Macaca mulatta: one gene and its partners. The protein of the gene in region 2 interacts with the protein of the main gene of each other region in a pairwise test. Links are inferred from orthologs where the notes say so. Each region holds a gene or a part of one and is shown on either strand. Other genes may lie near its edges.

Region 1 (5,638 bases), on a different chromosome or scaffold from region 2:
TGAAAATACTTTAAACTCAAATTATAACTGATTAGCCAAGACAATTATGGATCTATTACTTATATATTAATTTTTATAAAGTCTGATTGCAAAATTAGAGAAATTCTAGGAATCATTTTATGAATTGTAAAATATAAGAAATGGTATGATACTCTAAACATATATAAACAAACCTTGTAAATCTGAGATTTTGACAACTGATTAGTCTTTACAGGACAACTTGCTTAGGGGACACACACGCATAATACATTTTACGTGTATTATACACGTATTTAATGTAATAATACATTAAAAACCAGAAAGCTAAATGTATCATCTCTCTTACACAACTGGCTAGCCAAATCCTAAAATTATTTTTCCTCAAAGTTTTCAATGCTATCTAAAGTAGAAGTATTAATACACGTTCTGCCCAAGTTCTCAAAAACGTCCAACCCTAAAAAGCTGCAAAAATTTTCTTAGATCCTGAACTGTTCATTCTATACAATTAGAACCAATTATTTCAGGGTAAGCATTAGAAACTCTCAAAAGCGCTAAAATACACTAGTTGATAAAAGGAATTCATTTCAAAACTAGAAACACAGAAAAAAACAAACCTGGATTCAATGTGGAGAAAGCCGAAATCACCCTCATGATCTGTGAAATAAACTATTTTCCCTTAATGACGATTGGACTCATTTTTCCATGTCAGTTCAATGGCCACCAGAAATTACAACAAAACACATTTTTCCTCTCTTGTCATTATGTGTGTGTGTGTATATATATATATATATGTTGTATGTGTGTGTTCTGTTTACCGGAGTCCACTGCCAAGGTTTTTAAATGTGTTTAAGAGCAAGTTGCTGATGCGATGGGTGGGCAGAGAAAGGGTCAATGTAGTGGTTTTGTGTAATGCCGGGCTCATTAATGGCACTTACCAAATACCCTATTTATTTTAATTGTGGCTTTCAGGGTTAGAAAGAAAAAAACCAAAAAAGAGGGTAAGAGTTTTTCAAGAACAAAATATAAACCAAAAATAGGAAATTAAGGCAAAATTACCCGGATCATTCAGGCCACCTTAGTTTCTTTTCCTGAATTTCTGACATTATAAACCCCCTCTCTTCACAGTCTTATCTGTTTTGTACACGACATCTCTTGGACAACTTAGGTTCTGAAATCTTCCTACCAGTCCCCTTATTTTTTACATAACAAGTGTTTTGCTAAAAATATCCATACTTTCTAGAGCCACATGCCATTCCTACCTGAAAAAGAACACTGTCAGGTAACAGGACAAGTAAGAGGCAGCAACCATACTGCAATGGTCCGCGATTATACAGCAATTATTACACACAACCTCGCAAGGACAGAGGAGCGTCCAGGAACAGGGCAGGCAATCCCTCGGTCCTGGCAGCTGTTAAGATGGGTCAAGCGGAAAAATGTGCCTTTTCTATACTTAATTTTAAGTGGGTATGATTTTTAGGACATTGAACCTCTTTTGCTACCCACCAAAAGGAAAAAAAAAAAGTTTTCTCAACTGGGTAAATAAAGATGGTTTGATATAATATTCTAACCCTGAGAAGCAAACAGATTGCACATTTAGCTGAAATAGGAAGATTTCTGAAGCGATAATTATTTTGATATGGTAAGTGAATTAGTTAACTATAGTAATTCCTAAAAAAGCAAATTTAAAAAAGCATTATTTTTAAAATTTTTTAAGTGGTAGGGAAAATAAATAGCAAAGCAGCCAGTAAAGTTCAAGAAAAAAAGTCAGAACATACCATTCAACTCTCCATTGCTTTGAAAAAAGAAACGCCAGTAGCATTCCTACACTTGTAATTAGAAAACATGCATGTAAACAACTCTTCAAATAGTCTTTTATAATAAAATAGAAAATGTCCTCGGGTGAGAAAGCAATTTTTGACTGACTGCAACTCATCTAGGTTTTCACTACCATACAACTGGGTAAGAGAGTAAAATCTCCGATTTTGCACTGTTTGGCATAGTCTCGCTCCTCTACCTTCTCCACCTAAATAGTTCCCATTTCCCAAGTGGACAATGTGCAGAGAACTTGTATGCATTAATGAATTCCTCTGCAATTTTGGTTTCACTATCAGAATTGAAGTTTGCACACAACAGTGTCTCAACAATGATCTCAACGTCCTAACGCTTTAGAATCCGTTTACCTTCTGTGTTCACCTAGATCAGGATGCAATACCTGTGTGAATCTTTTCGGGTCATATTGAGCCATGCACTTTCCTGCATCTGCACACACTCTCAAGTTCCTCTAGAATGTTAAGAACTCAACTGTGTGTGATATTAAAAAGTACGCCAGAAGTAATTTCTTGGACTCCAGATAATGTACCTGCAGAAACAGTCATTTGGTAGGATACCACAAATACCCTACTACTGAATTCTGAAACGTTTGTTCCTGAGTCCGACTCCCCTTCTGACTACATCTACTCAATTTTGTTTCCACCGAAGGAACGCTCCGCAGTCACAAAACTTTCATCGTGAAGACGCACCACCCAAAATGCGTGCTCAGAAGTCAAAGTCCTATAAAAGTATCCTCGATGAGCATTTGGTGAATTGCTGCGTTTTTAACCCTCTTATTCTGCTCCCCTCATCTGCACGGCCCTAAATTCGCAAGCGTTCACCGCCCAGGTTCGGGGTCTTTGACTCAGCAGAGAAGAATGTGGCTGATGAGTTATCTATTAATCCAAAAACCCTCGGCTAGAAAGATATTTCACCAAGAACTTTTAACACGGAAAGGGAGGGGGCAGGGAACAGAGGTATCTTTTAATGAAAACTTTTCCCCAAGTTTCTTCCTTAAACTGCCCCCCCCCGCTACCCCGAATCCACACACAATTTCCAGCCCCAGCCCTAAGTCCTGACCCTCCGAGTCCCGATCATCTGAGGTCACCCAGGAGTCAGCTCTCGGTTCCACTTTTTAAATCCCGGGCAAACAAAGCTGAGCATTATACTTACAAAAGTCTCCGAAAAGTCCTTAGAGTTACGCAATTTGGGGCCCGCAGACGCGCGTGGACACAAAAACACACTTTCCCGAGATCCACCCTCCCCGGGCCACACTGCGGGGCTGCGTCCCGGGCACGGGCCATGCCTAAACCTTCCACCGCCGCGCCCCGGGCCCGCGCCCGCGCCCCGCCGGCCGCCCGCACTGGGTCCCGGATCGCCCCCGCCACTGCACCGAGCCGCCCAGTACCTCCTCCTCCTGAAGGTTGGCCTCGCTCGGGGTGTTCTCCTTCTCGGCTTTGCCGCCGTTGTTCATCTTCCCGGTCCTTCCTCGCCGGGCCGGGCAGGGCTGGGGCGCGGGGCTGGGCGAGGGCGCGCTCGCCCACTGTAGCCTTCCCCGGGCGCCGGGGCTCCCTCGGGCGGGCGCCGCGGGCTGCGGGGCTGGAGCTGGAGCCGGGGCAGTGGCTGTCGGGCTGGGGCTCCCGCGGCGAGACTGCGACGGCAGCGGCGGGCGACTCAGGAAGTACGAGGGAGAGACGGGGCAGGGCGCGGGCCGAGAGCTGGGCACCGAGACAATCGGGCCCCGGGAGGGCGACCTGGATAGGGAGGGCGGGAGCCAGGGGAGGAAGGAAGAAGGAAGGAAGGAAGCAAAGGATGGGGCGAGAACGCGCGTCCCAGGAGTAAGCGCAGAGAGTTGGGGCTGGGGGCTGCAGCCGCTGGAAGGAGGGGACGGGGGTGCCTAGAGAGGAGGAGGAGGAAGAGGAGGAGGAGGAAGAGGAGGAGGAGGAAGAGGAGGAGGAGCGGGGCGGAGAGGCGCGGGCGGCGGCTGGGACGCTGGGACCCGAGAGCCGCTGAGTGCGCGCTCCAGGCAGGCTCTGGGAAGTCCGGGATGGAAGCAGCTCCCTTTCTCTCGTCTTCCTCCCTCCCCTCTCCCCTCCCTCCTCTCCGCGCCTCTCCTCCTCCCTCCGCCCTCCCTGGACGTGGGCTGCCGGCTGCAGCCCGGAGGGACGGGGCGCGGGACGGAGCCCCCCGCGGGAGGAGGGGCCGGCGGCCGGATGGCGCGCGCCGGGGAGGGGCCGCGGGCGGCGGGCGGAAGCGGCGACCCCAGCCCCAGACTCGGCGGCTGGTCGGAGGGCGAGGGCCCTGGAGGCCGAGGGCAGGGGAGGTCGGGTACTGCAGTTCCCTCGGCCCCCGGGGGCCCCGGCGTCTGCGCGCCCCGGGACTTCGGGGACCCTGCCCCGCCGGGGCCAGGACCGGGAGCTGGGATGTGTGCGACTTTTGTTTGCCGGCTTTTACCAAGGGATTTGCACCCCTGGCCCTAAGCCCACCCTTCCCGAGCCAGACCCGGTTCTTCCCCTGCTGCTTGAATGACAGGATGAGAACTCGAGGGATACTGGGGACAGCCCCCTCCGGGCCGGCTTTTTCAGGACAGGGCTTCAAACCCATCTCCAGCGCGGGTCCTGCGACGCGCCCGGAGCCTTCCCCGCTTCGCTGCCTGGGCGTCCCGCGGCCCCCGACTCCTCTCCCAACTCTCACCCGACTGTTCTGGGATTGTTTACTTGGCCTCTCCCTCACCCTTCAGAAAGCTCCTTCCTGGAAGAAAAAACCACAAACTTACCCTATTTATCTTTTTAATCCCACGGCTATTTAAACGAGCTACCGGGTGTATAGTAGGCACTCAATAAATATTTGTTGGCAAAGTGAATATTCCTCATTGCAGGCAGAGCTCGGGGTCCACACGGAGGAATTTCAGAGGCTGGAAGCACGCTTGAAGAAGAAAGGGGGCCTGGGCTTTGCACCAACTTCAGGATTGCGTACTTGTTTCCTCATCCGTTAAATGGGAGCAGCTGAATGTGTCTCCTAGCGTTTTCGAGATTGTAGGTTGATAGAACTATGTACAGCACCCAGTATTCATTCTTGCTTCGTTTAGGTTTACAGTACATGGAAGCTAACATTATTAAGGAAACTTCCATTTTTCCCGGGCCTTAGAAAGCTTTTCCAATACTCGATCGTTAAAGCTTCTGGTTTTTTTTTTTTTTAGAAAAATGAGGGTCTCACTTTGTTGCCCAGGCTGATCTCGAACTCTTGGCCTCAAGTGATCCTCCGGCTTTTGGCCTCCCAAACTGATGGAATTACCGTCTGGAACCACTGTGTTAAACTCTTAGATTTGACTGCTACAAATGTATAAATGTGGAACTCCATGTATCAGTGGGTTCTGCCCCACTTCTTACTCCCAGGAATTCTCCGTCCCAGCCTGCTGCTCCTGTCCTGCACCAGTAAGTTTCTAACTACAGTATTTGCTTAACTGTTTCTCCCCACCCCCCAGCAGACATTCTTTATACTGATTTAAGTGCTGCTGGGGATGGGGGGGGGCGGCTGTGGGCGTTGCAGATAAGGACCCTCCCTTTAGGGAGTTTAAAGTAATACGGTGGCTCACGCTTGGAATCTCAGCACTTAGGGAGATAGAGGAAAGAGGATTGCTTGAGCTCAGAAGTTCAAGACCTGTCTGGGCAACATAGTGAGACCCTGTTCTCCACAAAGAGGGGAAAAAAAGAAAAGACAAAAAAATAAAGTGGTATGGAGCCAAGATACTCTCAGAATCCTCTTTCCGATTATAGAAAGCGAGGAAAATATTTGCTTTAAGGGCATTATGAGAAAAACAGTAGTGATACCTGGATTTACATACTGGGTT
Region 2 (5,543 bases):
GGTACAAGAGAACTGGCTTAATCTTTAAAAACATCCAATGTTGAAGAAAGAAGCATGAGACCCAACTGCAAAATATGTTCTTATTTTTAAAAATTAGATTTAAAAAAAAAATGGTATAGAAGACATTTGGGGGGACAAATGGGGAAGGTTAAATCTGCACTAGCTATCAGGTGATATTAACGACTTACTGTTTATCCTCTTAGGCCTAATGATGGTATTGTGGTTAGATAGAGGAATGCCTTTATTCTTAGATGAGTACTGAATTATTTCAGAGTGAAGTATTATTTTATCTGCAACTTACAAGTAATTCAGAGAGAAATAGGTATAGATGGAACAAATATGGCAAAAAGTTAGCAATCGTTGAACGTAGATAGTGAGTACTAATATTTCAACTTTTCTTTATGTTTTATGTTCAGCTATTTTCTCACTATCTTTTCTTTTTTATTTTTATTTTTGAGACAGGGTCTTACTTTGTTGACCAGGCTGGAGTGCAGTGGCACGATCTCAGTTCACGGAAACGTCTGCCTCCCAGGTGCAAGCAATTCTCGTGCCTCAGTCTCTCAAGTAGCTGGGATTATAGGCACCTGCCATCATGCCCGGCTAATTTTTGTATTTTGGTAGAGACAGGGTTTCAGTGTATTGGCCAGGCTTGTCTCCAATTCCTGACCTCAGACGATCTGCCTGCCTTGGCCTCCCAAGGGCTGGGATTACAGGTGTGAGCCACTGTGCCCAGCCGTTCTTCACTGTCTTCTTAAGGAACGTCTTAACATTTTCTTTGGAGAGCATGTAAGACTTTTATCATCATGTACTTTGTGATAGTTTAATTCTCTAAAAGTGTTGTTTATAAATGCATATTTAAAAAGAAAATCTTTAAAAATTATTTACTGAATTCCTACTGACTCAAGTTTATTGAAACTTAACGTTAACACTGTTGAAGAGGACTTGGTGCCTAGCGCCAGGCCTGGCATATAGTAATTGATCGATAAATGTTTGTAAAATGCTTATCTGTTAAACAGGGCCATGCTTTCTTAAGAATTTTTAAGTGGAAAAGAAAGGGCAGGCCAGGTGCGGTGGTTCACACCTGTAATCCCAACACTTTGGGAGGCTGAGGCAGGCAAATTGCTTGAGTTCAGGAGTTCAAGACCAGCCGGCGCAACATGGCAAAACTCTGTCTCTACTAAAAATACAATATTAGCCAGGTGTGGTGGTGTGCACCTGTAGTCCCAGCTACTTGAGAGGCTGAGGTGGGAGGATCACTAAGCCCAAGGTAGTTGAGTCTGCAGTGAGCTATGATTGCACCACTGCACTCTAGCCTGAGTGACAGAGTGAGACCCTGTCTCAAAAAAAAAAAAAAAAAAAAAAAAGACTCATGAGACTGTGTTATCATCATTATTATTATTTATTTTTGGAGATCCGCCCACCTCGGCCTCCCAAAGTGCTAGGATTATAAGCATGAGCCACCGCACCCAGCCAAGGCTGTGCTATTTCTTTACAGACCAAGGTACGCTGGGCAAATACCTCAAAAGGACAAAATGGGGACCTATCGACCCTATTGTTTGATTCAAACAACTTATAAAGATTCTTGAACAAGTTTTGAGTTTGTTTTATAGGGGCACAAAAATGAATAATCTGCCCCCAGGATTATCCAGCAGCAACTGTTACTTATTTAAGAAATCCTGATGGAATCACACTTACTGACACATTTTTCGAACGACTGCAGACTTTTCTTGATCCAGGAAAAAAGGGCAAGTTCTACTCAAGTTTAGGCATGAACCCTGTCAGTCATCAACACCAGTGGGTGTTATTATCTGGGAATCAATAAATATGTTGGAACTAGGATCATTTTCAGCTCTTCTAGAAAGCAATAGTTCTAAAAGAGATGGCTTCAGGAAATAAGTAAGAGACATTTTGTATAAGAAGTTGGAAGAAAATGATCAAGAGTCAAAGAAATAACTAATGATGACATTGTCTTGCATTTTTATAGTGCATTTTTCCTAAGGTATTTCATATCTATGTTAACTCATTTATTCTTACAATATCCCTACGAGGTAGACAGAACAATTGAAAGGGATTTTCACCAGGCCTAAGACGTCGGAGATATTCAAAAGGATATTGTATTAGCAACAGAAATATTTCTTCATATTGAATAGATTGATCATCTCTTTCTCCTCTGCTTCAGTAAAGTCATTTTTTAAAAAGATAAAATCTATTACAATTTGGGGAGAATAAGATTTCAGTTTACCACATGGGAGACACTCCAAGTTTAATCTAAAAAAGCAGTTTTATTCAATAATATAGGGCCACCTCTCTTTTACAAAAAAACAAAAAAGGGTATGAGTCAGATATTTTTCAAATTTGAAAAGTAAATATACTTAGGTGGTCCTCTATTTACACAGTGTTCCTTATTTAATAGCAGATGGTTTTGTAAAGAGGGTCACTATAAAATTATTTTATAAAGTTTTATATACAATACTGGATTGTTAAAGGAGAGTAACTTCTGCTAAATGCTCTTTCTGAAACCAAAAATAAGAAACAAAAAGGACCCACTAAAGAACTAAACCGTTAATGACAAACGTTGCTGCACAGAACAAAAGATTCTTCGACCTGAAGTTTCCCATCCTCGGATAACGTAACGAGAGCACACGAAATTTTTCCTATTGGATGTTTAGATCTAAAACATTTCCCTCTCCTAGTTTATCTAGGGATGTATATGTTCAATAGTGTGCAAATTATGTTGCATATACCTTATTAAGAAGGCCTAATTCCAGGTAGGTAAATACGGTAATTTTTTTTGACAGTATACCTGTCAGCGCAATACGATACATTTTAAATTAGTGAAACCGTTGGTTGGTATGTTCAATCCTCATGTTCAGGAAGAGTTAGGACAAAGAACACAAAGCAGCTAACTTCAGACTGGATGCCTAAACCAGAGACAGTCACAGGGATGGAGCCTAACGGCTAGTACAAAGAGAGACAATACCCTTCCAAAATACACTTCAACACAAAGTCTTCTTTTTTGTAAAGGAATGAAAACTGGTGTTCTTTGTATAGGTAAGAAAAATGCAAACAGAACTAGAAATTCAAGCAAAGGGAGAAATCCTGATCTCAGAGTGCTGGTGTTCATTCATCACTGCTCAGCCCTCTACCACCCCCTCCAACCCCTTCCAATTTGGATTAAATCCTGACCATGGTGAAGTAGAATTTTTACCTCTGTGATCCCAAGGTCGAAAATCTTTCCCCGAGATGCTTCTGAAGCCAGTTTGTGGAGATTTTTGTGTTATGGACTGGGTAAGGAACAAGCGTTCTCCCAGTTCACTTGATAGAAGTCAAATCCCATCACCACAAACATTGTCACGGCAAAAGGTTTAGAGACATTAGCTGATGGGACTTAAAAGCAGTATTCAGAGAACTAATGAGATTCATTTTAATTAACTCATACAAAATATATGTACAGATATTGTATAATGACATACCTTTTGGAAGAGAAGTGGTTTGTTGAATTTATGTCTTGGCTTTGATGCCGAGTTATTAGAATCCTTTCTGGCAAGAAGGAAGACAAATTCAAGCATCAGAATTACTGCATTTCAGAGTACGGATCCACTTTGTGCTGTCTTCCATGTACCACTCTGAAAGAGGGTGCAAGTTTACAGATCCATTAACTGTGCCTCCTCCTCCCCACCTCTTACTCCCTCCTCCAAACTAACCCTAGTCAGCCCTGCAGCCTGCAGGCAAACCACACAGGAACTAGCACATACGGGGCTTCAGAGAGTTGGGCGTGAGCCTTAGATTATGTGGTTTTGTTTTCTTGCTGCCAGTGTTGAACTAAAATGCAGGAGGTTCACTGAAATACTTTTGCTTCTTTATGCTAGGTTTCAGTTTTAACAATATCCCTCCTGAACACTTATGTTCACATAAGAAAATTTCTAGTCCTAGATATGGTCCATCAGCAAGTCGATCTTAAGGAAAACTCTTATTCTCTTAGTACAGTCATGCAGCCCAAGGAACATTAGGGCTTCTTGGGGGAACTTATTTAAGAGCACCCTTGATCACTCACAATGTTAAAATCCCAGGGAAGATGCTTTGTTCATGCGCTCAGTCTGTAATATTACTCTTGACAAAAAAAGAAGAAACATTCTGAGCTGGGATGACTTCTCACCCCAGGTTTGCCACAGTTCAGCATGAGTTGGAACCAGTTCCTTCGATTTCTGGGACTTCAATTTGTGTTGAGTCTTGGACTGAAGGCTTTTCGGGATTTAAGACTTTCCATTGACCTTATATTTTGTTACCTTCAACTTCCTTAGTTCTTACCTTTAAATGTACCACTCACCCTTCCCCCTATATCAAATGCAACTTGTGAAGGCCTCTTCCTTTCTCTTTGCTCTTGCTAGAAAATGGATTGCCAACGTTGCATCTTTTACAGAAAATTAGAGACATTGCTACTTGCTAAGTGGTGCCATTCAGAGTTTGGGAACTGGATCCAAGATGAGGAGGGAAATGTTGGCTCACCAGAATGTTCCTAGCATTAATCCCTGGAATACCAAGAGGGCAGTGTCAAGGAGAGACTCAGTTTGGGTTCTAAAATTTAAACTTTTTCTGCAATGTGAAATGGCATCCTTTTCCATCTCTTGACTTCTTTATATCTAAACCTTGCTTAAAATTTACTTTCTTAAAACCTTTTCCTTGGTTATAATTGCTCAATATTTTTATTGAAATAGAAAAGAATCAGCAGAGTGTCATGGTGATAGAAAATGCTCAGTAAACATTTGTCGAATGAGTTAAAGGAGGTAATTTTCTGCCCATAACTCCTTTTTTTTTTTTCTTTTGAGATGGAGTTTCACTCTTCGTGCCCAGGCTGGAATGCAATGGCACGATCTTGGCTCACTGCAACCTCTGCCTCCCGGGTACAAGTGATTCTCCTGCCTCAGCCACCCGAGTAGCTGGGATTACAGGTACCTGCCACCATGCCTGGCTAATTATTTTTAGTAGAGACAGGGTTTCACCATGTCAGCCAGGCTGGTCTTGAACTCGTGACTTCAGATGATCCGCCTGCCTCGACCTCCCAAAGTGCTGGGATTACAGGCGTGAGCCACCGCACCCGGCCGTGTAACTCTTTAATAACAGGCTTTCTTCTTATTGATGCAAGTTTGTCAAATTTTCTTAAATCCTGGTTACATCTGAAAAGGATTTCTGCTATTTCCACATTATAAAGATAAAATATAAAAAATAACAACATCTTGCTACTTTAAAAATAATAACATCTCAACCTTGGCCTCAGAATTCTTCAGCCTCCTAAGGACCTTCTTGGATCATTACATTGAACAGCTCTATTGCCAAGTTTTTAAATGCTGAAATCCTCTGGCTACAGTCCTTAGTCTTCGATAGCTCCCAAGTCAATGGTTTTGAAATGGTTAAAGGAGTCCCTAAAATTCTATGGTTGGGGAGTGGGAGCGAAGGGAAAATGCTGAATGGTATTTCACGGAAACTATTATGGTGTTTTCAGCTTGTACCCCAATGAAGAAGCTAATTTCGCACCGGGCACTACT
Region 3 (5,351 bases), on a different chromosome or scaffold from region 2:
CCGAAACACTCTATGTGAGCCATTCTTAGAACTTTATGGACTTCTGATTCTCCATACACTCTATAGTAAACTACTCCCCACTTTTTTCCACAATTTTTTCAAAAAATCAATGTGAATGACTCAAAGGGCAAAACTTTCAGATGAATTTTGTGAAAATTATAGCTAATGCTTCAAAGGGAGAGGATCAGGAAGGTGGGTGTAGAAGAATCTGTTTTTCTTCAAATGTTAATGGAGTGGTTTATTAGCACAGACCTTTTAAACCAAGCCAGGAAAAGGCAGCGGGATGTTTTCAAGTCCCCTTGGGCTGGCGAAGTGGGTACTTGCTGTACCTTATCAAGCACTAAACACTGAATACGTGTTGAAAACAGAGCTGATACGCATCCTTAGCAACCACTCACCTCTGCTATTTTAACAAAATGTCAAGCAAGCAAGAGAAAGAAAGAAAGAAAGAAAAAGAAAGGAAGAAAGAAAGAAAGAAAGAAAGAAAAGAAAGAATTAGCATACAAGGCAGGACATGCCACCTTTATATTCTGAGCTCTGTCCACAGTGAGCAGGCCATGCCAAACATTGGGAGAGACAGAATGGTTGATCATGCAAAGCAAACTGTAGGTTTGAATCCCAGCACGGCCATCTACGAGTTATGAAATCTTGCTAAACTACCTAATGTCTCGGTACATATACCTAGAAAACGAGAATGATCCCAACCTTTAAGATGAGAAGGGAACTGAGTGGGAAAAGTGGATGAGAACAGCTGACCCAGCAGCCTCCCAGTAACCTAGTTTTCCCTTCCCATCTCTGTGTCTACGGTGTTTGGTGGCCTCACCATCTCCCGCCGCCTCCAGCAGTTCCTTCACTCAGTGAAGGTCCTAGACCGAATGGCCACCTTCCTGTATGTGGGTACTGATCACCCACCACCTTTCTGCTTTTCAGTGCTATGCCCTTTTTATCTTGTCTAGCAGCCAAAGCTGAGACTGGTGGGAGTCATTTCCAGCTCCGATGGTGGAGGAGTAGGGTTGACGGGAAATGCCAAGGCGTGCTCCACGCCTGCTGTCCCCAGCCGCGTTGGGCTGTGGCACTCTCCTGACCAATGTCTGGGTCACCAGGAAGCAAGACGGAGCGCCACTAAAGGTCTCTTGTGCCCTGTATTTCGCCACCGCATTGCCAGGATAGGAGTGGAGGCGGACGGTGTCCGACACCAAGACTCAGGGAGCGATCCCTGAGCTCTCTCGGCAATTCCCGGGCTCCGGGAACGGGCCTGGGCGGGGAAGGAGTCGGGACGCGCAGCGGCACCCGGCGAGACTGCAGGGCGCCCGAGCGGTCGGACGGGGGAGCGAGAGCTAAAGCTTGCGGAGCGCGCCGAGCCGCGGGCGCTGGCGGCCACGGCCAGGGAGCTGACGCCGAGCGGAGCCCGCCCGGCCGCGGGAGCTGCGGGAGGCGGAGGCCGAGTGGGGGGCGGAGCAGGCGGCGCCGGGGAGGCGGAGGCGGTGTCTCCCAGAGCTGCGCAGGCGTTGCTCGCACCTTGTTGATTAGTCAGTGCTGGGAGCGCTGCTATGGCGTTTCTCAGACCCGCGGCTCCTCCTCACACGCTCGAGGCGGAGGGAAGGAGGGGTAAGAGGAGGAGGAGGCGAGCGGGCGGCCGCCGCAGCTGCAGACCCAGGGCCAGAGGAGGAGGCGGAGCGGGAGCCGCCGCAGCCACCCGGGCCGCTGCCGCCGCCGCCGCCGCCCGCAGCCGCGGGGCTGCTCTAAGTCTTCTCCGGGCGTGAGGGCACGCGGGGCGCCCCAGCCATGCCCCGCAGCGGCAGCTGAGCCGGGCGCCGGTCCCCTCCCTCTGGGCCGCCCCAGTCGCCGCGCCCCCCGGCTGCCCGCGGCCGGAGCTGCCCGGCGCCTCCCGCGCGCCCCAGACCGCGAACGCCAGCAGCGGCGGCCGCTGAGGCGCGGGTGGTGCCGGCGGCGGCGGGGGAGATGGACCCGGCGCCCTCGCTGGGCTGCAGCCTCAAGGATGTGAAGTGGAGCTCGGTGGCCGTGCCGCTCGACCTCCTGGTCAGCACTTACCGGCTGCCCCAGATCGCGCGGTTGGACAACGGTGAGTCCCAGCTGGGGCGCGGGGCAGACGGGCGAGGACAGCCGTCTCCACGCGGGTGTGCGCGCGTGTGCTGGAGAGGGTGGGACCCGAGGGGAGTGGGCTGCCCGCCCCCGAGCGCCGGAGTTGGCCGGAGCGGCTGCCGCAGCCCTGGCGCGTTGCTCTCAACTCCCTCCAGCAGCAGACAGGGAGGTGGAAATCAGAGTCCTTGCAGTGTAATTAAAAAGGACGCCCTAAAAAAAAAAGTCAACATAGGGAGACCTCTGCAGATCGTAATTTTGGACGCCAGCGATCCCTCCCCACCCGCCTGCAAGAATTACTCAACTAGGGAAACCCTGAAGAGTTATCTTAGGCAACTTTCTTGAGACTATCATTGTGCTCTGGGTGGCATCTTAATTTGGGTGCTCTCCTCCCTGTCTCCCCCATCCCCCGCCAAACTGATTTAAGAGGAAAAGCTCCTGGGTGACCATTGAAAAGGATCTTATTTCTCAGAGACCTTGTATTACCGCTTGTCTGTTTTGTTTAACCCAACCGAAAGTAATTTAGGTCTGTGTGTAGAAAATGTTTTTAGCAGAAGTGATGGTATGCTTAAGGTTAATCATTAGGTTAGCTCATTTCCAGCCTGGAAAAAAAAAATAAATCACCAAAACATATTGATTTGGAACCTGAGTTCAGAACTAACAAGGGTGTATTTCCTGAAACTGACCACCAGAAACCCACCCAGCTCCTTCCCCCAACTGTTTATTCTGCGGTGTGACAGCTGCAAACACACCGTTGCGCATACTGTCAAGCAAGTAGACACCTTTCAGTTTGAGAGTGATGACATGTAAGGTGGCAATTTAGGTGTGTTTGGGCTTCTCTTGTTTTCATCATAACTTCAGTGGGCTTTGGCTTCATGCGATTTTAGACTGTTTGCAGAAAGAAGCCTGCCCTGCTGTGGGGCAGCTGTGGAAGTACCCGGGCCCAGGCTGGCAGACAGGCAGGCAGAGCTGTGGCTGCACAGGCCAGGTCAGGAGAACACTAAGCAGAAAGATGTCATTTCGAGTCACAGGCACTAGGGTTACTCCTTGTTTCCTAGGGTAAAAGAGTGAGTAACATGAGATGTATACATATACAAAGGAGTTTTTATTCTGTTTCTTATCTGTGGGGTTTGATTAGACATTTGTATATCTGATGTGAAAAATAAATGCAGGCAACTTCGTGAAAGCTGGAAAACAGCCTTGGCTTGCTTGCTATCCTCGTTTGATTGTTGGTAGTAGTAGGGTGCATCGGAAATAAGCTGGAAGTTTTAAAACTAGTGATGAAGTGCAGATCACAGTAGCTGTTGAAGCGGAGGGGGGGATTGGGCGGGACACACGGGTGGTGTGCTGAGGCGTTTCTGCTTAGAGTGGGGGTGGGAAAATGTTGTGTGCTTTAAATAGCATCTGCAGACCTGAATTGGTGTGTGTGTGTGTGTGTATTCGCAACGTTTCATTTCCTCCTCCAAAATTGTGTATATTGGAAGGTTGTGAGTCTTACCTTTTCCTACCTTCTCTCATCTCTGCACACTGCCAAATTTGGTAGCTAGGCAGAGAGCATTGCTGCATGTGGTATAAAAGTCACTCAAAAGCTTCATTAAACTGAAAGTTTAAAGGGGCGGAATATCACTTTCAGACATGACTTTTAGTTTTATTTCCCACTTTTCTATCCCTGCCATTCATAAAAAGGATCTGAATCAGCAGTGTACTCATCCCACACTTCTTTCTAAAATGAGGACGTGGGTAGTGAGTCTTAACACTGTGTCCTTTCAAGCTGTGGAATGGATTTTGATCACTACATGTAATTCCAATTCTTCATTGTAAATTTCTCTTATTTCCTTATTGCCGCTTGAGAATCATAGTGGCACATACACATTTGGAATCATTGCCAGATACTGCTTTATAACTTGCTTCTTTCACTTAACAGTCCCATCTCATTTAAACATTTTTGTTAACATGATTTTTAATAACTGCCAAAGAGTTCATGGGCTAAGCTATACCATGTAATTTCTGCCCCTATTGTGGACATTATTAAGCTATATCATTTTGTGCTATTAAAAATTGTGGTATAATGAATACTCTTGTACATACATCTGGGAGTTTTTTGGTTAGAATATATTTCTACTTTGCTGAACAAGCATGTCAGTACTATTAAAATCCTTGATACACATTGTCAAATTGCTTTAGCGACTAAAGGAAATCCTCATTTACACCAACGTGAGCATTGTGGTAGTATCAGTCTGCCCACATCTTGAAAATACTAAGTATTTACAAAAAAATTCTCTACTAATTTGATTGGCGAAAGTGTTGTTTCAGCAGTTGAATTTGGGTAGACTTTAAAAGAGTCAATTGTAGATTCTGTGCATGTTTTTAAACATGTTTCACACAGTTTAGGACAGGTTGAGGACATGCTGGCATATTTATAAATGTTATAGGTGAAATCTTAAGTTTTGTGCTATCCTCATCCTGTGTTTGCCTTTTCCCCAGTTTTAGTACTGCAGGTACATTTTACATCGCACACGCCCACCCTATACTTAGACATGAAAGGTAGTCATTTTCCAAATCACTTGTTTTTAAAGAGACTAGAACAAAATTGAAAAACATGCCAGTAGTTGACATTATGCCAAGAGGAAATGATTGGCTAATTTTAAATACTTTTTAAAGAACATTAAAAAAATCTAATTTCACAACTATTGACTATCAAAAGCCTACTATGGGCTGGTACATTTCTGGATGCATAATATGTATTGTCTCAAATCCTCAGCAACACAATTTTTAAGAACTTCAGAAACCTAAGATTCAGAGAAATTGACTTGCCTGAACACTCGTACCTAGTAAATGGTGGAGTGGAATTTCCAGCCGACCTTCTGACTCTGAAGACTGACCTCTTATCTCAAACTGGGCTACCTCCTTATGCTAAAGGAGAGAAGGGTTGAGGTTGTTCTGACATCTGCTCTAAATAGGTTCACTGTGTCTCTGAGAGCTTGAGGACTGGAAAGTCAGTGTTTTAAAAACAATGTAGATACCAAATTAAGTGCTGGCCTCATCCATCATATATACGACTTTCTGCTTCCCAAAGGAGTGGCTGAAAAGAGGCAAGAGGCAGTGGGGAAGAAGAGGTTACAGAACAGGAGAAAAAAAGGAAAACATTGGGGTTCGAGGGCCTAGTAATGTAGATGTGTCTGTTGAGATGACTCTTCAGGACATTCGCCATCCCTAGAATATTCACTACACGATATGTAAAGAACTCTCCA

What was found.
Region 1: the proteins of GRAP2 (region 2) and RBPMS interact in a two-hybrid assay, tested with the Homo sapiens proteins (2 studies listed by BioGRID and IntAct). The two-hybrid records come from large-scale screens. The link is inferred for Macaca mulatta from reciprocal best matches to the Homo sapiens genes GRAP2 and RBPMS.
Region 3: the proteins of GRAP2 (region 2) and GAREM1 interact in binary tests that used the Homo sapiens proteins (3 or more experiments, as listed by UniProt). The link is inferred for Macaca mulatta from reciprocal best matches to the Homo sapiens genes GRAP2 and GAREM1.

What each region holds. Positions count from the first base shown.
Region 1 is NC_133413.1:32,158,700-32,164,337, reverse strand, and holds the start of RBPMS (RNA-binding protein with multiple splicing), read right to left. Parts: upstream 3,824-5,638; 5' UTR 3,263-3,823; coding exon 3,197-3,262; intron 1-3,196.
Region 2 is NC_133415.1:11,632,954-11,638,496, forward strand, and holds the start of GRAP2 (GRB2-related adapter protein 2), read right to left. Parts: upstream 3,721-5,543; 5' UTR 3,474-3,720; intron 1-3,473. UniProt on the Homo sapiens protein: Interacts with SLP-76 to regulate NF-AT activation. Binds to tyrosine-phosphorylated shc.
Region 3 is NC_133423.1:60,048,756-60,054,106, forward strand, and holds the start of GAREM1 (GRB2-associated and regulator of MAPK protein 1), read left to right. Parts: upstream 1-1,528; 5' UTR 1,529-1,962; coding exon 1,963-2,083; intron 2,084-5,351.